3 linked regions of the Lepisosteus oculatus genome follow. Each later gene encodes a partner of the first gene's protein in a complex. Links are inferred from orthologs where the notes say so. Each region holds a gene or a part of one and is shown in the gene's direction. Other genes may lie near its edges.

Region 1 (7,877 bases):
AAGTTCCCCATTTGCGATGGTCCTGAGTGCAGTGTCACTCTTTGTGAAGTTAGAACGGTTGTTGATCAACAGCGTCGAGTCCGAAATGTTTCATAAAGCGTGTCGATCGGAGTGTTTGACCAGTGAGGCGAAAAAACAAGGAAACTGTTCTTGACATTCTGGCACGTTATCACTTGTATACAGAATCAGGAGTGCACCTTCAAAGAGTTTTGTTCTCTTAACTTTAGACTATACTAACGGGGAAAGGAACGCAAATGCTATATAGTTATGCAGCTATATATGCAAATTATACATGATTACTGAGACGTTCTTGCCAAGTTAAATGAGGAGAACGCCAAATGAATCCAGATCCTTTAAATTTCCGCGCTGTACCCTAAGCAGTTCCATTATATGCAAGTCCACATTGGAAGATGTGATGAGAGACTGTGCAGTGAAATACATTTGTATTGGTAAAAAAAGAAGCCCCATGGCACCATCTTGCATATCAGATTAATCTGTCTGAAGGCCAAGGGCTATAGTGTAATTTTCCACTGTCAAAAGTTTAAACAAGGATCAGTTACCTGAAATAATGGAGACTCTGTCTTATGTTGTCTGTCTTGGTTAAGAGAAAAAATATTAATGAAGCAATTGGCGTTGGCCTCTTCTTCTTTAACTGTTTTCATGTATTGCTGATTTTTTTCTGATTATTGAAAAGTGTGTATGGCAGTAAAGGAACAGAAAGAAGCTTTTTTTAAAAAAAAAAAGGGTATTGACAATAAATTTTGAATTGGCCCGTCGACAGCCTTTCCTAAAGTGTGAAAATTCAAGCTTGCAATCTCCAACACGTCAGTGTCCAAGAATAATTGTGTGCTTGATTTGCTTTCAACAGACTGTAGCAAGGAACCGTGTGTGAGAATGTGACTTCTGAAACCAGGAAATCTGAGATGCGTTAGGTTAAGAAAAGTACTTTGTGTACCTCCACGTACATATGTTTAAACCTAGGACGGTTATGCTACAAGATACAACCACGAAAGGCCCTCCACTGTGATTTCTCTCCTCAGTAACGGTAGATTCATGATCAGAACTGACTTGCCACATAAGCACATACATAATGTAAAACAAAAAAATCTTTCCAGGTAATACAAATCTGACGTTTTCTTGTTGGTTGCTATATTTTGTAAGCAGTTTCAGGACCACAGTCCCAGGCCTGAGCTTGCTCTTCAGGAATCGACCTCGTGTGGTAGCAGGTATTGTGCTGGACTGTTAAAGAGGCCCAAGGGAAGGAGCAAACATTATCGATTCTGGGCTCTCCTCGGCGCAGCCTCATCACTGTGTAGGGTAACACTATCCTGGAGTTAACTTCTGATCGATGCACACGCGCAGCTGTTTTTGTTAGCCATGGTTGTTTTCGTTTCAAATTAAATTGGGTAACCTGTTATTAAGAAGAAGGCGAGCGGGTATTTTGGTGAGGACAGACGGTCACGCTGTCATTTATTGAGGGATGAGCTGGCGAGGATGTGGGGGGCGGGCGTGGAGGGGGGGGTGCGTGTGCGGTTTCCAGTCTAATGAAGGACATGAATCCGAAACGACAAAACAAGCAAAAAAAAAAACCAAGCCATTAAATATGCAGAATCTCTCTCATGGCAACAAAACTGAACTGCTGAGTCAGTGTTTTAACGCTTGGCACCCGAAATGTTGGGATTTTAATGTTTTTTTTTTTCCTTTATTCGAAGACGGGGGGGGGGGGACACGCAGTACTGTGTGAGGATTTCTGTGTTGCCAAACAAAATGGTCCAAGTTTGTGGTCATGTGATAAACCTTTTAAATCACTAGAAGTGCTTCCCTTTTTAAGTAAGGTGTTGAATGAAAATGTACTGCTGATGTTACTGTGCTGGGGTGCTGAATGCAGCTCATCTGCAGTGTGATGCTAATCATTTGGTCACAATTACCTGTCCGTTTTCTGTTTCAGCATGCTGTAGCTGTGTGGCTCTTCTCAACTGTCACTTCCAGAGTAATGTTTCTTGTAACAGGGGACCTAATTTATATGACTATTGCCTATATTGTGTTGAAAGTGTGAAAATGATCTAACCTGGCCAAAGCCCCCCTCTTAAGACTATGAAATAAGGGGGAACCCCCAAGCTGGGGTATGACACAGGGGGAAAGACATTTTGAAATTCTGGCTAACTTTTGGCTTTGCGTCCAGTAGATAATGCTCTGTCAGAAAGCAGTGTTCACTAGATCAGGCTGAAAGCAGATCTGTCTTTCTTGTCTTGAAGTTGTAGAATTACAAATGTATATACCGTGGACACATCTTGGGAGTCTGGGGAAGATGAGGGGTTAAAATGGCATAGAAAATCACAACCTTAATGAAAGGCCATTCCAAAACACCCTTTGTCCCCTTCTCCCGAACTGTTGAATTTCAACATGCGATGTCACAGTGGAGACCGCAATCAATTTAACATTCAGCATGCTTCAGATTCATGCAAAGGGTCATTTGACTGTTTGAAAAAAATGGGAATTTTATAATATCATTCAGGTGTATAACCGATAGAAAAAAAAGGTCTTCTCTCTGTAATTATGTGAGTGCAGTACTGTATAAACTGCAACTGTTGAACTGCTCATGGACGTGAATTTCTTGGGTTCTTGGAATTAAACAGACTGACGAGCCAGTCATTTCTGCCTGTCAGCCCAGATCTTTCATTTGCTTGCTTTAGGAAATGAGTCAAGATTACATTGTGAGCCCCAGTCATTCTTAGGTATGAATTTGAGAAAGTCAAAGCAAGCATGGTTTGTGTGGAGTACTACAGTACATAGCAGAAGTTCTAGATAAATTTCTGCTTGGACAGGGTTAAAGTTTTCCATGGAGTGTGTTGGGACTGTTAAAGGCTGGGTGTAGACTGATTTCAGTGCTGAATAGATGAAGTGTTATTCTTCCTCTGTGTAATGCTCTCTGTCAGAGTGTATATATCATGATCTATTACCAGGAGCAGGGGACAGTGCAAGTAGATGGAGAAGCATTCCTACAGTGAGCCTTTTATCTTACTTCCCAGATACAGTCCGAGTAGACTCTTTTACAGCCAAACTGTGCTGTCAGGCTTGAAAATGAATTACACCCGCTGTATGTGGTGCCATCAGCATATTGTTGTGTCCATGAAGAAGCCGACTCATCAGTCTGGATGATCATTAAATCTACATTGCTTGATGATGTATTTAGCGCCATTCTGTGTTGAATCCAAAAGTGCACGAGCAATATAAATGATTATCACGTTATATAGTTTATTCTGAAAGCCTCCTCATAGAACGTATTTATCTTTTCTTAACAATTCTCAGCGCTCTAGGCTGTCTGTGACGAAAGTATCGGTGAATTAATAGCAACTTAGTGCGTGCGTTTTAGTTTTGTTCTGGTGTTTGCCCCCGTTCCAGGGCAAGTTGTCGAGGGTGCAGTCAAAGCGAATTTGTCCTTTTTCAGCTTCGGCGCGAAGCCTGGGTGGCTGAGAGCGCTCTGTCTTTTGAGGGCCGTTCTGCAGCTTCCATATGGAAGTGAGTCCCCCCACCCTCTCGTCTCTGTGGATTTGAAACAGCAGGTGAATGGTGTGCGCCACAAAGCTTTTTTTGGGGGGCTGGAACCATTTAAATGCAAATTGTCCTTGCCTCCCTCCCCCCCAGCGCCATCTGCCGTTCCCCAGGCCCGGTGTGTGTGGCTCCCGTTGGGACGCGTGGGCCGGCACCTCGAGGGTTTGAATGAATGCGCCCCGAGCTCCTCCTGCAGCAAAAGAACACAGACTGCACCCCAGCTTTAATTCTCCGCAGGCCTGGGCCTGGGGTAATGGTTAATTGATGAATGGGTGAATTTCAGCAAATCGCCTGTCAGGTGAGGAGATGCGGAATTAACGCGCAGCAGGTCTGCGATCGGGCAAGCTTTCCTTCTCCGGAAGATACAGCCACACTGTGCTTGCCTGCGTGTTGAGCAGCAGCAGAGCTGTCACGGGGGATGAGTTTGTTGTGACCTGTTTTTTTTGTTTTTTGGAGAACCTACCAACTGTTACAAATGAGAGGAGGCCATTTGACCCATCTACCGTGTGGGGTATTCAGGAGTTCGAGGATCTAAGGATTTGTCTTTTCTGTCGTTTAGTATTTGAAATCCCATTTGCCACCAGTGAATGGTTGAAGGCTGTGTTCTTGGAAGCGCTGGACATGGTAGCTTGTGTTTAAACATTGACATCAGCCAGTGATACTTTTGTCTCTTTAGGTTTTTGTCTGGACCTCAGGACCAAGTTTAATTCCGTCAAGTTTAACCCTGAGTGTCTCAAGCCACTTTATTGCCGTTTTGACAGTTTTTGATTTGGGTTAATTTCTGGTTTATTTTGAGTTCTTTTCCTTTTAATGAATTATAGTATGAGTTATGTTTTCAGAAATGTATTCTAGGGGATGGTGTAGCGCAGGGCTAATGAGCTCAACTCTTGGAAGCTCAGAATCTTCTAGTTTTTGTTCTGTGCTAAGTAGTCAAATAAACAATTGATTAAATTATTGTTTTAGACCCAGGGTTTTTTTTAAGGTACTGTATTTTACAGTTCATAGCTTACTTTAGAGGAATCCACTCTCTAAATACCTGAAGACACTAGGCCTAACAGGAATTTTATATGAGATCCGTGTTGATAAGTATTGCTCATAGTCTATTCCTAAAATTTCTTTATAGGTATCCTCTGGGTTTTAGTCATTGGTTTTTTTTTTATCCAGGGTTTCCTGGTACAGTAAGTTCATTGACGTTTGTGGCTGAATGCGACTTGTGCCTGACTCAGATGCTTTACCTGTAAAATGACCTTCACACTGACGTCCCAAAGATATAGTGTTTCTAAAATGCTAATAAGGTGGTTTTTGTGTTCGTGCATACTTCTTTCCTTGGTGTTTGTAACAAACTGCACACTGCAGACAAAATAAACGCTGTAGTGTTCTGTCTTTGGGGATCTGCTTGAAGATGTAGGATGGCACATTTCAATACAGTGCAGGTCGTTTCAGCCTAATATATGCTAAAATATACATTTGAAGTTGCATTTTTTCCGCCAGAGGGGGCTTCATTAGCATGCATAAAATGGTAAGTTGTGTTTTTTTTTTGCTGACTCTGTGGGGCAAAGCCCTCTTTATTGACGTTTAAAGAACAAACAGTTTTATTGAACAAACTGTAAGTTAGATGAATGGAGGAAAGATGTTTTCCGCATGTCTTCTGTTCTTTAGAGTGTCTTTTAAGCTTCCAGCTTGCACTTAATGAGTTGACTGGCCCTTGGACTGTAGAAATGTTACAAAAAGTAGCTGAGTATCTACCCCTGCAGCACAGCACCATCCTGAAATGAGAAATGGAGCTTTGTTCTTTGTCCAGTATTATTATTATGTGTAATAATTGTGTACACCTGCAAGCCTAGTGGACACAATATTGCTGCTTTCTTTCCTAGATTTATATTTCAGTCTGTATCAATCCCAGTTGTCAGAACTTGTCAGTATTTGGTGTTTTTATATATGGTATTGGCTATTATTGTCTATCACTAGGAGTTTTCTGAGACTGTCCTTACGATTCTGTAATTGTTTTTTTTAGTATGTGGAGTAAACATCTTAATGAGATGGGCTGTTAATAATCTACCCATTATTATTTATAGTGACAGTCATTTACAGTGATTAATTGAACAGCTGGCAGAATTTGTATTCCTTCATAGTTGTCCTAAAACATTTCTTAAAATGTCAAGGCTTTCAGCGCAGTCATATGCTTACTGCCACGAGATGAGGATTGATTAATTGATGGTGTATTGATTTAATGCAGGTAAAAATGTCCCAGCCGTGGTTGGTGGTAGGCAGTGTTATTTAACCTGAACAATGCTGCAGCTTGCTCTTACTGGTTCAGCGACTCTCAGTAAGGGAGTTCAGAAGCCTTTGGCAAGTGTGTCTTGTTTGACTGAGGTAACTGAGACCTTTTGATGTTTGGGGATGATGAAGGCAGATGTTTTGGGGATATTTAAGCACGCTGTGCTCAGCAATAGTATTCAACTGGTTGAAACCTAAAATACAGATTTACCTCAAATACAGTAGTTGTTCTGTACTGTGATTATGGTTTGATGGATGTTTATTTTGTTTGCTCTACCTCTCCTTCTTTGTGAGATGGCTCTTCCTTCGCCTCCAGGTGAAGAACAACACACAGTTGGGGATGAAGGTGGAATGTGTGTAGCTCGTCTTCTTCGGCTTATTTCTGTCTGGTTTTCCGATCGCGCTGCATCACGTTGGTGAGATGCAGATATTTCATCCAGCAGGGATGTGGTTAACCCCCAGCTCTGTCATCAGGGGGTCGCCGCTGTTGGCTCAGTTTAAGGAACTCGTTTCCTCGCTTTCCTGTTGTGTGACTGGCATTCAGACTTGTGGGCGATCGCAGTTGTTTAGTCCAGCTGGGAAGTGGTTAAACCATGGGAACTGAAGCTCCTCAAACTCTCACTGCTCTCTGTGCTGTTTCTGTCTGGTTTAGGAGTCGGTGTGACTGGAGGAGTCTTCACAGCCTAACAGTACGCAACCGAGGATAGCTCTGTCTTTTTTTAGCCTGTGTCGCTCGAGGTGCCAGGCGAGATCTCTCGACGCCCTGAGCACATTCTGTCAGCGCTGAATCGGCAGCTTAAGGAACGAGCTGTCATGGTTTCTGGAAATATGGTTTCATATGTACCCACATACACGTTTCATAAGCCGGTTGCAAGGAGTTCATATAAGGAAAAAGCCCCTAATTTTTCTTGTAATTTCTGTCCTACTGTTAGGACATGTTTATATTATACTTTCAGGCCTCGCTTGGGTTTATATGGTAGTGCAATAAAAGCCTTGCTGCTAGACGTTTCTGATGTGTGAGGAGCTGTAACAATGAACAAACGGAGAAACGATCTTAAGTGATTTACAGTAACAGTTAACAGTATAAGTTAAGGGGTTTCAGTTCAGGTTTTGTTTAAAAATAACTTAGGCACTTATAAGAGAAATGTGGGTTGTCACTTATTCATTCTAGATAAATATCTTATAAGATCACTTTATTGGCCATAAACAATTTCTTGTATTAGGAATTTGTCTTTTCGCATATCCCAGCTTGCTCTCCATGAGACACACAGACGAGGAGAGAGAAGCTTGAGGTCAGATTTATACGGCACCCCTGGAGTAGTTGGGGTTAAGGGCCTTGCTCAGGGGCCCAATGGAGTAGGATTCCTCTGCCAGCCGAGGGATTCAAACTGGCACCCTTCCAGCCACAGGCGCAGATCCTTAGCCACAGAGCCACCACACTGCCCCCTTATTCTTTCACTGCTACTGCTATAGAATATAGTCTGCTGTATTCTTTTTAAAGATGGACCTTTTTGATACATTACTCATCAGTGGAGAAGAGAGGGGATGACATAAGTGGTTGAAGCAAGATGACAGAAGCACTTCCCCTGACTGTACACATTTAATTTTTTTGCCCTCTGGGGAAAACAACCAAAGCCAGTACTCTTCCAAAGCTTTATCATGTAGATTTTTGCCTTTCTAGACGAAGTGACTCAGGCTAAATCACAACTTGCAGTAAATGCTTTAGCGAAGTGACTAACGGCACTCCTCTGTGGTACCAGCTGTGTGGATAGCATTGCAAGGTAATGTAATACAAGAATAGTCTGAAGTTTTAACTATTGCCACTCAGGCAGATGCTTGCAGATGCTAACTTTCCAGTGGGAATGTCCTTTTAATCCTATGAAACTAAAGAGCTTGGCAGTTCACAGCAAATAAGAGCCGGGTGCAGTAATGATGAATTCCCTGGGATAGGCTGAGCATCGCGGTGTCTTTATGGGGTGTGTGGTATAATTTCATTGTAAATATCCCTGCCTTGGGGGCAAAAAAATTACCAGCAACTTAAAATACGT
Region 2 (7,963 bases), on another chromosome or scaffold:
AAACACCGACTGCATAAATTCATGCTATGTTCTCACCTGGAAGATGGGTTAGTCAGAGTTGCCGCACAAAATAATACACAACATTCTTCCAGGACTTCTTCAGCGTGAAATATTGCAAACTATTTGTCTTTCTTAAGTGTTTATTCACAAGCTAGGCATCAGACAGATTTGACAGAAACAAATCTGGCTATCCCCACTCCTTATAATCTATTATTCAGTTACGTGCGAAATTAAATCAAATATACTATTTTTAGAAACTAAATTTGGACATCCAGCTTGTCCACTGAGAAATTGTGGTATGAACGCATTACTTCCTGCAAGATTAACAGGACGGAAAAAATGCTAATGATCTTAATATCATTAAGCATTTTTAGAACAAACATAAATTTAGCAACTTAACTTTTCCTGTATAAAACAATTACCGACAGCAGTTCTTAGCTCATCACAAATGTACACATCCCCCCCCCAAATCCCACTCTTCTCTATAACAGAATTTATCTGTTAAAAATGAAAATATTCTAAAAAATAATATGAAAAATTTTGGTACTATCGCAAATATTTTAAGTATTAAACGTTTTCTTAGCTCATACCTTGACTGCTAGTTAAAGCAGCCAAATTATCTTGACGGGCCACGTTGCCTCCTTCAGTTTGTATGATTTCTAACGTTTTAACTATGCAAAAATGCAATTAATTAAACTGTTTTTCCATAGTGCATGGGTTATCCCAGGAAAAGCTAAGCCATTGCAAAGTATTTGTAGGACAGAAAGAATGATATAAGGGCTTATTTAAAATATGATTGAAAGAAGTCTCTCCAGAAAACGTGCTTTGTTTTGCTTCTCTCATTACCGGCAGTGTTGAAGATATATCCAGAAAGAATATATTCACAAACTTTGGTGTGTTTCTAAATTATGTCAGTCCCTCCTTTGTAACGTTAAAGCTTTGCTTAATGTTAAGGTAATCAATTCAGCTAATTGTGAATCATTACAAAACAAACACATTTTCAAAAATAGTGTTCAAGCTTATTTTTAGAGTACAGTAAAAAAAAAAGAAAATGAAAAGATTGCAGAAAACTGATTTTTTTATTTCAGTTTTAAAACTCCCAGTTTTAAATTTGACCGATGGACTCCACAGCTACCCCTGATGTTGACACGAAGAATTGTTTGGTCTTTGTGTTCAAAGTCGCCACCATCCAATTCTTCAGAAAGCAAACAAAAAAAGTTTCTTAATTTCTAATGTATACAGAATATAATAAAACACCAAGGCTGTACCCCATTACCTAGTGACACTCAGATGAAAATAGAGGAAAAACAGAAATTGTTTTAATAAACAGTGTTTAACACTACATAAATCAGTTTCACACATCCTGCATTGGACAGTAAATTACACACATTCCCAAACAATGCGATGTAAGAACACATTTGGAATAATCAAATTTATTTTGAAGTTTCACGTTCAAAACCAAAGTTACAGCTAACAATTTCAGAACCTTCTATGATTAAGTCTGGGATGCTGGTTTAGAAAAGCTGCTGATGTCTGATTGGCAGGCAGGAGAATGGTGAAAAACAACTTGTCTTCACATTTTTCCGATGGTAAAACACATTTTATCACATACAAAGTATGGCAAGTGTGAGTTTTTCCACACATATGTAATGCAGTACATTCAATTTTACTATGAAGCACCCTGGACTCAGCCCGCATGTATTTGAAACATGACTGTTGTTCCAGCACAATGAAACAGAACCCAGAGAGAAGATGTTTGTGTAAATTTGGCTTTAAAACAAAGCACTCATGCCAGGTTGCAGATGGGTGTTAGCATTGTGTTATCCATTTATCATCAACACATGTTTTTCCTTGACAAATTTCCCTTAAAGGAAATCAGGCAATGTTTTGTTCTTGCAGTGTATTGCTCAGTAATATTGCTGTGTTACTGTTTGTGTTAGCATATGTACAGTGAAGGGTTTAAGCATATAGTGCCGATAACTTCAAAACCACATAAATATTTCAGGTGTGCTGATTGCTGGAAGAGTTCCCCATGGGACGCAGAATAAAAATAATGAATCCACAATGAAAAATGACTGAAGTAAATAAGCACAGTTTAGAAAGAATTTCGGATGAAAGCTGAGAAAGAAAAACAAGCCAAATAAAAAAAAATACATCATTTTAAAAGCAGTACAAGAAGCTGATTACTGACTTATGGTTGTCACAAACATTTCTTCAATCATAGCCGACTGTGTTATGACTAATGATTTTAATTAAAAAAGTTTAGTTTGTGTATTTATTGCCAATAATATGATTATAACAATAAGACAAGGAAGGAGACAAAAACAAGTCTGAAATGGGAGGTAAGTGGTGGGAGAGATGAAAATCATATGAAACAAACTCAGGTGATTTTTGTTTTTTTAAATGTATGCTTTTAGAATTCATCATTTTAATGTTAAATTCATAGCCTTGTCAGTGTCACTGCAGGATGAAATGAGTTCCTTGCAACATGTAACATGCTTGGAGATCCTTTAGAATAAATGTGATTACTATTAAGTTGTTTTCTTAAATTGCCCTCCCGGGGATGAATAAAGTATTTTGAATTGAATTGAATTATCATCAGATAAGAAGGTGATACACAAGTATTTTCCTGATTGCCAGGAAGCTGGCAGCAGCTGTGCTAAAATGTCACAGACTTCATCATACAAGGTGCTGAAATGCAAATACACATAAAGTTTATACAGTTGAGGTAAATATTATTAAGTCACTGTAACCTTCCATTAATCTACTTCCTTCCAAGAATATCGTTTTAAATAAAGTTTTGGATTTGATCCATATTCTTCTCTTCATTTAATTCGGGTGTCAGAGCCTACCTTGGCAACCAACAGGTACAACACAGGATATGCCCTGGACAGGACACATATCCGTTACAGGGCACACAGTGACACAAACACGAAAAACCACACTAGGGCCTATTTACCCTATTTTATTGTAATGACAATAACTAGTCGTTTATGCCTGTAGGGTGGTGTGTGATAGAAGCACCAGATTTAATTGGCTGTGCTTTTATTTTAGATTAAAGAAAAGCTGAATTTCACTACCTTTCTTTAGGATGTAGTCTTATAGTCTCTACAGTTCTTAAACCTCTCAGCCTCTTTTCTAAAGCACAAGTGTCATGTCCTGACATGTAATTGTCTTCTGGGCTTCATGGTGATGTGTCTTTTTTCTGTCTTGTGATTATTTCACCAACAGATCGCATGTCTCTGTCCGTAAGGATAAGAAAAACTGCAAGGTGAACTAATCATTATGTTATGAAGAAAGGAATTTTGTTAGCGGTAGGCTTATCCAAAAAGACCCATTTGAAAATTACAAGTTTAACCCCGTTGTTCCATGTTTTTAATTTAAGATCCCAACATGAAATTTGTCATCATCACCAGAAACGTTGTTGTGTTTGTTATTCTCAGCGGTAGTAGTAATATTTGTAGTAGCAATAGGAAGGAATAGTAGATGTTAAAATATTTTAGAAAGACACAAATGATATTTTAATCATTCTTATATATAAAACAGATATGATACATGTTGTTACACAACACTATGAATTCCCAAATTAAAGCCAAATAGATCTAGAATAAAAAAACAATCCCTTAACGGAAAATAATTTTGTAAAACGATTTTCGCTGCAAGGTCTCCCTCGTGTGGAAACAGAAATAATTACACGGCGTATAGTTTTGTCGAAAACTCTAACATTTTATAGATTAAGAATATTAGTATAATATTAAATAATTCATATTTTCAAGTGTCTAATATCTTAAAGTATCCTTTGCTTATAGTTTGTGTTTGTCAATTTATTGATCGTAACAAATAAACGATGATTACCATTTGTTGTATAAGAGTTCTTTATCGCTTTGTAAGCATTGCTTTTGCAGTATAATTAAATCGAAATCAACGAATTTCGAAAAGAAAAATCACATCTAGCTAATAAGGTGCTGGTATGTTCCAGTGTTGGTCCTTACATAAATGTAACTGCATTTTCATTGTTACTTATTCAAACTTTTATTTAAAAAATATTATCTAGCATTCTGCAAAAGCGAAACAACAACATAGAATGCACAAAAATATTCACAATACATAAAACAGCTTAAACTGCCATTGTGTGAATAAAACATTTATTGACGATTCATTTGTACATACCCGCCTCCTGAGTGAGTATAGGAAAACATTTTCACATAAATCTCACTTTAATGTATTAAATCGATTATGAGAAATGTATGTATTTAACCGACAGTTTATAAAGCATGTAGTCTGGCTCATTCACAAGTTCTGTTAGGAAAGCATTGAAGTCAAACCGTGGAACAAAATAGGACAAAACAGGTCGTTTTAAGCGAAAAAGCATACTAGGAGTCTCCACAAGGCGGCGGACTTTCGTATCCAAAAGCATTAAGGTGCTATATCTGAAGCTTTTTTGGGAGATGCGTAAATAATTTGAATTACCCTTTAATTAGAAAAATATTTTGAACGCCCACTATCATTTTTTGTAAATATCAGTGATGTGTTTTTCGAGGTTCGAGATTGTCAAATTATAACACAAATACTAAATCAATAAAATACACTACAGGCAACACAGGGGTGAGAACTATTCCCAGTTCAGGTTTACCCCCACACAAAACAGTGCCTTTCCTTTCACAAAAGCAAAATGCTAGAGGTTTTGCATATCCAGATGCTGCCATCCTATTTCAAAGGCCACACATGTAAAACCATGCAAAAGTATTCCTGTGCCATGCAAATATACCTCTCTGATTACCATTGTAAGTGGCCATGTCGCTTTTCCGTGTCCATGATGTCATCTGCCGGAAGATCACTTGTGGGAGGCAATGCAGGTTGTGTGTATAATAGAGAAAGGCATTTGACAGCTGGCCAAAACAACCCCAGAGGAAAGCAAAAACCGACCTGCTGGATTTTCAAAAGCAAATCGTCATCATCTGCATCTACATGGAGAAGGAGGGATCAGCCGTAGTCTCTGCCCCGGACCTCACACCAATGTAGAGAGGAAATGTTTTAATTGGAATATATATTGATACATCTACCCACATAACTAATTTGCCCCCCGTCTCCCCCCCCCCCCCCCACCCCCACCTCCTCCCAATTGGATTTGCATCGTGAATGCTGCCATGAATTCAGCAGAGCAAACCGTTACATGGCTTATTACTCTGGGGGTCCTGGAATCGCCGAAAAAGACCATCTCGGATCCAGAAGGATTTTTGCAATCGTCTCTGAAAGATGGTGTGGTCCTGTGCAGACTGCTGGACCGATTGCGCCCTGGTTCTATCGATAAAGTAAGGACATTTACCATTCTTACCCGCTCCCAGCTACAGTGCGCTGTGTTTTTGTCGCGTAAACCCTATCGATGGCGTCCGGAGAATACAAAATATCCCCCTTTAATGCCCCGTCTCGGTCAATGTTTCTTTTTAGGTCATGTGTCTGGTAGTTATTGTGCTCCTACTGCAGGCTAACTGATATAGCACAGATGTCAATAACGCAACGCGAGAGGGATTACCGTATTAGACGCTAACAATAGGTGCTATTATATATCATAGGTACAAACTATATCTACAATATCCATAAATCATTGAATGTGAGGTAACCCTCTTAAGAACCGATGCTGGTTCTAACACTGGGAAATATACCCTTTCAACATTTTTTTTATTTATGAAATTGCACTAGACAAGAACATAGGGAATGTGTTTTAAACACGATTTTAAAAGAATGGAATCCCCTTTTTATGTTGCTTTATTTACTTGGAGGTGATGCGCTGACAGAGGACAGAATTGCGCCAAATCAAAATCGACTATTGATTTTTTTTTACGTGTGGAGGGGATACGATCCCACATGAGCAGGCCGCCATTGACTGGAAAAGCGCACACAGTATGTGACGACCCTCGGAAATGTTAAAGGAACAGTTCCATTTTTGAGGGTACGGCTGTCTACCAGAAGGTCAGACCGCATGTGTCAGACTTGTTTATAGTGCTGAACAATTGAGCTTACTGTTACGTTTTTACAGTAGCCTGTACTACAGTCTACAAACAAATTGCTTTGATGTAGGCTATCGTTTCCAACAGATTATTAGGTTCCTTCTTGGAGCTAAATGGAACTCCCGTCGTGTTCTTTCAGTATTGGTCTTTCTTTAATTTCCTCAATATCATGTACTGGGTCTTAACGAGAAATGTACCTGAATAATCTCTGGAATGCAGTTTGGTGATTTTATCTTCAATCACGACAGGTGAAATGACTAATTTTATTGCATGAACATTGCATTAAACAAACCTAATGAACAATGAAACAAAATTGTTTGAAAAAAAGGCTAAAGCCTACATCATGAAAAAAGGTGAGATTTAAATTTGCATTTGCTGCTAAAAACAAGAGGACGTAAGATCCTAGTGTACAGCACACAAATGCGGAATGAAAATTTACAATAATTAATGCCATTAGTACAGGCTTCTTGCTTTGGTCATTTTGAGGGCATACCTCAGGTTAAAACTAGCCTACGGTAAATAATGCCTGTCTTTTTTGAACAATTAAAATCCTTTAAACATATAAATCAAATCAATTTTAATATCACAAAAGTACATCATCATCCATGTATCCAGATATTAACTTTTATTATTGAAGAATCCTTGTGTATTAGAAGTAGGAGATCCACAAAGACGACAACAATATAAAGCAGAGAAACTCAATGCAGTCCAGCATCCATCTGTAACAGCAGATGCCCCCCAATTGTGACAGCAAGGTGATAACTATTATTTTTGGTTTAGAATCAGGCTATTTGTATTTGTGATTGTGGGATTGATGTGGCTTCACAGATGAGATGATGACTTCCGGAGCATCTGCAGTTTCTATTTTTTCGCCACACTTAAACTTAGGTGAAGTTTTGGTTCGGTCTGATTTTTTCTGGAAGTTATGTTCCCCAAATCTTCTGCCTGAGTTTTGTACTTCTGAGCAAATTTGGAAACATGGTGAAACATTCTGGCTTCACATCTGGCTCATTGGTCTTTGAAGGCACTGATGGCAGCGGCAGAATGAATTCTGAAATATTTCCGCTGAATATGTAGAGGAAGGTCATGCCCTGTGCCCACTGCTTGCTGGGATAGGCCCTGGCTCCTCCGCGATGGATGCAGAAGAGGATACTTACGTAGTTGTTGGGCAGCACTTTACCATGCAGCGTGACCACAACCTAAAACATACAGCCCATGCAACAACTTTTATCATTGGGAGAAAAAGAAAAGTCCTAGACTGACCAAACCAATATGGTCAAGCCATGTTTCCAGCTGACCAGCATTTTGCATGATGACGAAAAAGTTCAGAACAAAAAAAGTCCCAACACCTCAGGAAAAATCAAGAAACCTGAGTTACTGAAGCAAAGGCTTAATGAAGCCCCTCAGATGATCACGCAGATACCTGGGTGATCTCAGTGGGTTGCAGGCCTAATGTGGTCATTGCCTCAAGGGGAAATGGTGATAATATGTACTGACTTTTACACTCTGAAATGTACTTAAAGTGAAAGTGTCCCAATACCTTTGGTCCTTTGAAATCACCGGGTTCAACAAAAAGTATGTTTTTCGCACTAATATGACCACGTGTGCGTATGACATGATCTAAAAATAAAATGTATAGTGTATTACATTGTATGCATCTCTCATATTAATTTCCTGTTCTTAAATACAAATTGCTTGACTGTAAAGCAAAAGCAATAGCCTTGACTATGCTGTCCTTGTGTTTTGGGGGGACACTGCAAGTATTTTTTCCCCAAAACTCCGTTCATTTCTCACAATTCTATTACTTTTATATGTATAATGTTTCAGATTAAGGAAGCATTTAATGGAATTTAGAAAAACCAACAACAACAAAGTAGATGGATGGATTTCAGACAAAGGCAAGCTCGAAACTTGATCTACATGTATACAAATATTGCGTAAGAACGAAAAACGTT
Region 3 (7,751 bases), on another chromosome or scaffold:
ATCTATCCTCACAGTTTCAGACAGAAAACTCCATTGCTATTGCAACCGGAAAAAAAACGCATGTCCAGCCCCAAAGAACGAATTAAAATTCATTAGCCGGAGGGCAATAGAGACACATATGCATTCATTAAACCCTTCCATGTTTATCGTACAGAGAGAGCATCTTCAGCTCTACAGCGTTGCCGGTACAGCATCAGAAGACAACTGAAAACAAGAGATCACAGCTCCGTTACCTTTTCGTTGGTCCTCTTGTTCATACATCTCGTTTCCTCATTTAAAATATTGCAAAGATCCAATAAAAACAAATAAGCCAAAATAATGATTTGCCCCCCTTTCAGCCCACCCCCATGTTATTTACACAAGTGGTTCCTATAGTTATCCCTGGGAGTTATATCTCACATCGTTATTGCAACATCCGGGTGCTGGCTTCACAAGATGGATTTCATAGCAACTCCTGATGCAGTCAAAAAAAAAAGGGCGAAAGAAGTAAATCCCATCACAAAAGAAATTCCATTTACGTTCCTTTCAGTTTCCGTATCAGCAGCCGAAACATTATAAACCATCTTAGCCCGCTTTTAACCAATGAATTCAACGAATATATTGAAAAATTCGCAGACGAGGTCCTTAGAGGTCGGTCTTTAAAAGACTCTTATTTTGGACGTTGTGTTGCAGGTATGTCCGTGAATGCTCAGTTTGAGTGACGTTCAATGTTTTGCTTTAGTCTTTTTATGATACAGAATGTCAGAATTTTGGACAAGACCGAAAACTCGTATAAATCAATTTAGGCTACTATATAGTATATAAAAGAAACTAATGTGGTTTAAGTCCCTCAGAGGCTAGTTTGTTAACTTAAAAATACATGTCCCGCGCGGTGCTTTTTGTAGAATATAATTTTGGATAATGTAATGCTGGTACTCTATACAATAAGACTAATATCTTATAGGTTTAAGAATATCCTTTTTTAAGAAACACTGTAAATCCATTTACAGCTAGAGACATATAATTAAATAAATTCATGGTCAGACTCCTGGCAGACGACATATAATGCAGACAAGCACGCAGTGTTACACACAGGTAACAGAAACATAAGCTATAAATATAAAATGGGAAATACAGTACAAGAACATACAGTAAGAAAAATGGGGCCATTCACCTGATTTGGTTTCTCAGTTGCCAATTCATCTTCCAGACAATATAGAGAAGGAAGGAGACGTACAATATTGTAAATAATATTGTGTACAATTTTGATCATTATACCTCATAAAAAAACAATTGCTGCTCTTAATTCAGCCCAAGGAAAGTCCTAGACTCACAGGTTAAAAACCCCCAAATCTCTTTCATCTTAAATGCAGAAGACTACAAGGTCTCTGAGGAGTTTAACTGAAGGGTTGAAAATTCCCAAGGCCATCGACAAAGTCCACTCTTCTTCAGAATCAATACTCCGATATGAACTGCAGTAGAGGACAACTGAAAACTAAGTGGAAATGCATTTAAAACTTAGAATAGGAGGCATGGGAGTTTGGAACAAGCTACTCAGTCGAGCTGTTGAAGCTCAAGAAACAGCTGAATGAATTCAATTAGCTACTATCAACTAAACAAGCAAGACAGATCAAATAGCCATCTATCATTTGTAACCTTTCTTGTTCTTATGTTCTATAAATATGTATTAATTTCTCTGTCTCCTAGCTTGATAAATTCAGTATTACCCCGGGAGCATCCTTGTTAGGGTGACACTGTGGATAAAAGCATTGTATCTGATTTCACATGGCATGATCATATTACTGTTGTTAACAGGAATATTCTAGAGCAGTGGTTCCTGTCCCTCGTCCTGGGGGAACCACTCCGTTGGTTTTCATTCCAGTTGAGCTCTCCATCACCAGTATTCACTGATGCCTTTAATCGATCTGATTGCTTGTTTGCTTTTGGGTTGTTCAGTTTATTTGTTTCTGCGCTCAGTCCTGAGATTCAGAAATACTCTACTGTAGGTGTATTGTTTCCAGCAACCTCTGAACACCAAACCTTGAGCGTCTCTCGAAAATTTTCCGTACCCTTATTTCTGACGTAACAGCTGCTAATATGTGGTTAATTTATAATCTGGTAAGTTAAAAACAATGAATGAGAGTAGTTCTGAAATTTAGAGGTTGGTTACAAAATCCCATTTCATCTTAATTATAGGTCAGAATTTGTGCTTTTATTTCTATCATTCTTAATAATATTCCAAAACCCGATGACAGTAGCCTTTTGCAAAGCTTCCAAAAACTGAAATCATACAACAAAACCAAAGGTATTTAATGCTGTACTCCAATTGTCCTCAATAGTAGGAAGTCATTAATGTTGATTTTTTAGTGCCAAGGACTGTAATTTAACTACAGCAGTGCGCTTTTACTTTGGTAATCATAGTCCTGTGTCATAGCTTGCTGTAAAAGAGGCCTAGAATTACTTTGTTACTATGTCTGGCTCAAAAGTGTCTTACACATTTAAAACCAAATATTAAGCAATAATATAAAGGTCCTGGTACATTATTTTATTGTCAATTACAATTTAAAGGCAAGTTATATTATGTATGTTGGAATAAAGATGTATAAATGTCCAGCAAAACATTTTTTCACGACAGCTCAATAAAACTAAAACTAAATCTGTGATAATGACAAATATGAAAATGTACAAAATCTATACAAAACCGTTATTTTAAAATCAGATGTAATATTACCCCAGATTCTGCTACTGTTCTGTTATTATGACCTCTAATCAATGAAAACAGACACCATTAAACTTAACAGTATAAAACAGGATATCTCAGCATAATTCTATAACCTAGCAACAATGTAATGTGTGAATATATAGTCTTTCATATTTTATCTGATACTAAGGGAATATCGGAACAGAATATTTCAATTCCAGATGATGCATATTTTACATTATATTATTTTGGAAAACAATTTAAAACTGAACTCTAGATTCAATATTGAAAAGGGCAACAAGTACCTGTACATATCAGAAGCACATATAGGACATGACTTAAAGAAAACGAAAGAAAAATGGATAAAAGGAAATGGTCATACTGTGGCTTCTACCATACAAACAGTATAAAGTGACCATATCTGTTGCTTACCAGTATACTAATTCTCTCCCTTTAGACAAGTATTTCACTTATACATAATTATATGTTACCCAGAGAATACACTGTATCACAAGTAATTTTAAAATATTATATTAAAGTTAGTAAGCACCACTTCCAATATGAGTCAGACTTCTTTCATGTTGTTTCAAGTTAACACTCTAAACACAGACAATACAAATGCGATATAACAAAAACTTGAAATAAAGTAATAGCAGACATATTGCTGACTTAACATTACTGTCAAGCCAAACATGCAGAACCACCTCTTATCGCATTTTTCTTTCTGTCTCCCCAACATGCAGCTCCTGTGGCATCTGTTTTCTACAGTCCGATACCATTTAAACCCCAGAAAACCAGCGTAGCCTTACCTCACCGACTTGGAAGCTCGACAAATAAAGCCATTCATCTTCTCTCGTTTTGGGACATCCGCACAACTTCAGCTATACGTTTGTCACGCATTTCGTAGTGTAACCACAAAGTGAAATGGCACTGCTGGGTGGAAGGTTTCAGGATATTGGATTACCTGTCTGCAGCAGATAATTGTTTCTCAGAGATAATCCTTGAATTATTAATCCTTCTAATGTTCTTGAGGGAAGCAAGGAGTGTCGCAACTGACCTATTTCAGCCTTCGGCCAGATAGAACATTTGTTCTCACTTCTGTTTAATTGGCTATTTTACTCATTTTATGTTTAGTGTTGTCAGATTTTTTTCCCTCTTCTGATTGTTTGGATGTCACACAGTTTATTTTAATGCTGTATGTGCAGCACTGCTCCAAGGGAGAATGCCCTAGGTATGTGGGGATTCTAAGAACTGTCTTGAACAGATTAAACCAATTTAACCGGTGCCATTACAGTCTGGAAAGGGGAGTCATGATTGGCAATTTAAGGTTGAGAAATCTGGTCTGTGTCTATTTTAAACCTCAAAGACGCACACTTTGTAGAGTAGCAAGCAAAAAAAGCCAGCCCCGCCTTCTACCATTCACAAAACAGGATAGTATCAACGCTAACTCCGCCTTACAAGCCTCGATAGGCTAATAGACAAATAATCTTATTAAAAATGTACAACGTGGGACTGGTTTAAACTGAGGCTTTTGTAAACGGGGACCTCTTGCGTTTTTTCTGTACTCTGTAATTGGATTTAGAGGCACTTTCATTCGAACCAGATAAAAGCATGTTCTGCATACGTCTGTATTAAATTTAGTTTGTGGCCACCATCAGGTTTTATATTTTACACGTGTGTGTATAAATCCAGCATTATAGATTGAAGACAGCAAAATGTAATAATTTTAAACAATTTAGATAACGGTAAAATATATAAACTTCTTTTAATGAAAATAAATAAATACATAAGAGTATAGTCCGCAATTATTTGGAGTTTGTGACGTTGATTAGCTTAGTTCTGGTTGAAATGAGTGTTTTCAGTGGTATTAGGATTTCGATTTTTACTCGGTCGGATACTCATCTCTGTGTGTTTCTATAATGTTCCTAAAATATCATGATTAGCCTGATGAGAAAGAAAAATAAAACAGTACTAAAATCTTAAATCGGCTTTTACGATTGAATAGTGACCTAATAATCTTTTCCCCTTCCCTTCGAAAGTGAACTAAGCGGAACGAAAAAGCCCTTTGTTACAGTAGGAACGTTTATTTCTAGGTCTGTTGTTGCCCTACGAGGAGGGAGTGTTCATAGAAATCCCTCCGTAGGATGCTCGTACTGGGGATTTAGAATCCAAGATGGAGGCTATCAGTAAAGTAGGACATGATATGAGTCTGGCAGCTTTAAAACAGAATGACCCTTATATTAATAGAATCATCGATGTAACCGGGCAGGTAGCACTCTATACCTTTAACTCCAAAGCAAACGAATGGGTAAGGTGTATTAAAATTTTTCGACATATAGTTTAGAAAGCGGCGAGTCTGAGGCTTGTTTCAGTGAAGTTTCTGTATGGAGCACATATTGAAACCAACTTTTATATTAAACTGACATCTCTCCCTTCAGCGGAAATGTTTTTTTAATGAACGGTTTCGAATAAAGAGATTCTGAATCTAAAAAAAAGGTGAATGAGTATCTTAAATGCTGATACGGATAGTCTTGTTAGTACATCTGGTGTTTGTAGATGGAATTCTTAAAATTGGCGTTGCATAATTTATGTTAATTTAGACTGAACCAACAGGTGAAAAGGAGTTTGAAGTAAGATTTTAAGATTGTTTTCTTTTTGTATTATATTCCAGGAGAAAACCGACATTGAGGGTACCTTATTTGTGTACGCCAGGTAACGTATTCGAAGTCGGATACGAGTATCTCTTATATCTATGATCTCCTCCCCTATCCCAGAAAAAAAAAAAACAATCAAGGTTCTGGTCACCAGTACACGTGTTTTGGTCAAGATTAGGCCTCAATATTTATGAATTTATTAAGAATCTTTTAAAATCTCAAACTATCTTATTAAAATATCTTATCAAAAAGCTGTCTCGTTCATAGTTTAATAGTCAAGAGTAGTTTGCGGTTTGGAAGTAATGGAAAAATTAACAATTCAGGTGTAAAGAGTAATAATTCTGGAAGGAGCTGTGAAGCACATAATACAATATATTCCCATCTGCAGAAAGAAACAGCTAGTATGAACACTTATTGAAACAGAGTAACGTATTTTGTATTCATTGCTTTAGATTCCAGAGCACTTAGGATTTACAGTTAGGCCACTGTTTTAAAATGTGTCCATCATGGATGTAAACCATATTGTCTTTTCCAGTATAATAATTAGTTTTTATCAGAAGCTACTGTTAAGACTGAAAATCTATAGGAGAGAAGAAGGTGTCAGTAACCAGTGCTGTAGACCAGTGAGTCAGAGACCACAGTTTTAAATTAAATCTGAAAGATAGGTCACAATTCACTTGGCACTGGATAGACATTTTGGCAATTTTAAGTCGTATTAGAACTATTTAACATTTTTAGAAGTATACATTTACAAGTCAAACCTTCAGATTTTAAGATTCACTTATGGCATAATGACTGCCAGTGTGATAAAAAATATCAATTTACACTGTTGAGAAATCTTAATCTCTCAATCTTTCACTGCAAAAACAGAATGCAACATGTAACTCGGTGAACGGTTGGCTTTGCATCATATACTCAGTCAAGACATGGAAGGTACAGCCCACTAACTCTGAATTATTAAAAATGTTACTTCTGTAGAACACTTACTCCACTTAGCGCTCTTTATATGCAGAATAAATGCACTGGTTTTAATGTTGCTGAGCTCAAGTTTTCCCAAATTGAATTTTTCGTTTGTGTGAGTTGCCAGGTTTTTAACAGGTGTTATTCCAGAATTTGAAAATGGTATTTTTTTTTAATTGTAGGTCAGCTTCTCCATATCATGGCTTTACGATAATGAACCGGCTGAACATGAAAAATCTTGTGGAGCCCATTAACAAAGACCTAGAGTTTCAGCTCCAGGACCCATTTCTTCTGTACAGAAATTCAAACTGTAAGTGCCCTCTTGTGCTGTTTCTAACTTTATCTCATACTAGGTCAAGAAGCAGTGGAGAGACCTGGGGGAGAGAGAGAGAGTCACAAATTTCTCTTTCTAGAATGTGAGTTGAAAAGGGAAAAAAAAATGCAGACAGATTTGTTGGAGAAGTTTTTGTAGTATAGAAGACTTTCTTTTTGGGAAAAGGGAAGGATTTGAAATGGACGTTCACGTGAATTAGCTGTAGACAGCACTGATGCGCCACAGGATTCTCGTTGGTGGCATTTGATCAAAAAGAGTTTTTAGGCTGCCGTCATTAACTTTATTGCTAGCTGGAATGAGCGGCCTTCTTCATGTAGTTCGTGGTACTTAGTTTCCAAATGATTTGCAAAGTTGGCTCCATGAGTAAGTTAGAAAGCGCCCCACAGTGTGCATTAGAACACATTAGCACTCTTATTAAGGATAATGCTAGCCCCTGGGAAATGTGGATTCACTTCCTTAGCACTTGAGCACAAGCTGTCTTAATGAAGTGCAGTGTTGTCTCCAGGGGCCAACTGCACAATACAGCAGAAATCCGTAGTTTCTGTAAATGTGCATCCTTCACTTGAGCAGCACCCGTCTGGTGATGTGTATCACTCGCCTGTTGGGTGCTCTCCTTGGTCTGTTTTTGCTGCCTGCCAAGTTGCATTTTCCTGGAGAAACTGCTTCTTCCTCAAGTATGTTCTGGACTAGAATAACTGTTGAACTTTTCATTCTGAAGACCGTGGGCATTGATAATACAAGTATAGCTGGAGGCAGCAGATGAAGAAAATGGGTGGGAGGGTCTCATAAAATTCATCATTGTGCTTTTCTCATAAATCACTGAGAGATTGGTGCACTTTTCAACATTAACATGAGTGAGTGGGGACGAATAGGAAGCCTTGGATCATCTGATTGCCTTGGTTATGTGCTGTGGATGGCCTGGTCAGTGTTGAGTTCGGTTCTATTTTGAAGCCAGGAGTTTGATAGTGAACATGCAGGTCCATATTTGAAGTTATGAATAGGGTGCACATGAAGAAGATGCCATCCAGCACAAAACTTGTCTTTTTGCTGTGGTTTATGTGTGAAATTGTATTTTTCACGTTTATTTGATTTGTACTGTGAAGATGTTTGACTGTATTCACAT

The links. Proteins that work in one complex are often made in the same cells at the same time.
Region 2: the proteins of pak1 (region 1) and arhgef7b are in contact, whole or in part, in an NMR structure (PDB 1ZSG), measured with the Homo sapiens proteins. The link is inferred for Lepisosteus oculatus from reciprocal best matches to the Homo sapiens genes PAK1 and ARHGEF7. Residues at the interface, in NP_001363202.1 of Homo sapiens: Thr185, Pro186, Pro188, Val189, Ile190, Ala191, Pro192, Arg193, Lys198, Arg203, Ser204; in NP_001106983.1 of Homo sapiens: Lys192, Phe193, Phe195, Thr198, Asp201, Glu202, Glu217, Gly220, Trp221, Trp232, Pro234, Ser235, Asn236, Tyr237.
Region 3: pak1 (region 1) and dcp1a share a complex: the UniProt entries of both Homo sapiens proteins name them as parts of the cytoplasmic complex. The link is inferred for Lepisosteus oculatus from reciprocal best matches to the Homo sapiens genes PAK1 and DCP1A.

Annotation. Positions count from the first base shown.
Region 1 is NC_090700.1:9,943,291-9,951,167, forward strand, and holds the start of pak1 (serine/threonine-protein kinase PAK 1), read left to right. Parts: upstream 1-4,669; 5' UTR 4,670-5,059; coding exon 5,060-5,071; intron 5,072-7,877. UniProt on the Homo sapiens protein: Protein kinase involved in intracellular signaling pathways downstream of integrins and receptor-type kinases that plays an important role in cytoskeleton dynamics, in cell adhesion, migration, proliferation, apoptosis, mitosis, and in vesicle-mediated transport processes.
Region 2 is NC_090710.1:25,691,154-25,699,116, forward strand, and holds the start of arhgef7b (rho guanine nucleotide exchange factor 7b), read left to right. Parts: upstream 1-4,877; 5' UTR 4,878-5,147; coding exon 5,148-5,312; intron 5,313-7,963. UniProt on the Homo sapiens protein: Acts as a RAC1 guanine nucleotide exchange factor (GEF) and can induce membrane ruffling. Functions in cell migration, attachment and cell spreading. Promotes targeting of RAC1 to focal adhesions. May function as a positive regulator of apoptosis.
Region 3 is NC_090699.1:63,508,408-63,516,158, reverse strand, and holds the start of dcp1a (mRNA-decapping enzyme 1A), read left to right. Parts: upstream 1-4,665; 5' UTR 4,666-4,853; coding exon 4,854-4,988; intron 4,989-5,351; coding exon 5,352-5,392; intron 5,393-6,476; coding exon 6,477-6,604; intron 6,605-7,751. Other genes in the region: voltage-dependent L-type calcium channel subunit alpha-1D, read right to left, coding at 234-261. UniProt on the Homo sapiens protein: Necessary for the degradation of mRNAs, both in normal mRNA turnover and in nonsense-mediated mRNA decay. Removes the 7-methyl guanine cap structure from mRNA molecules, yielding a 5'-phosphorylated mRNA fragment and 7m-GDP.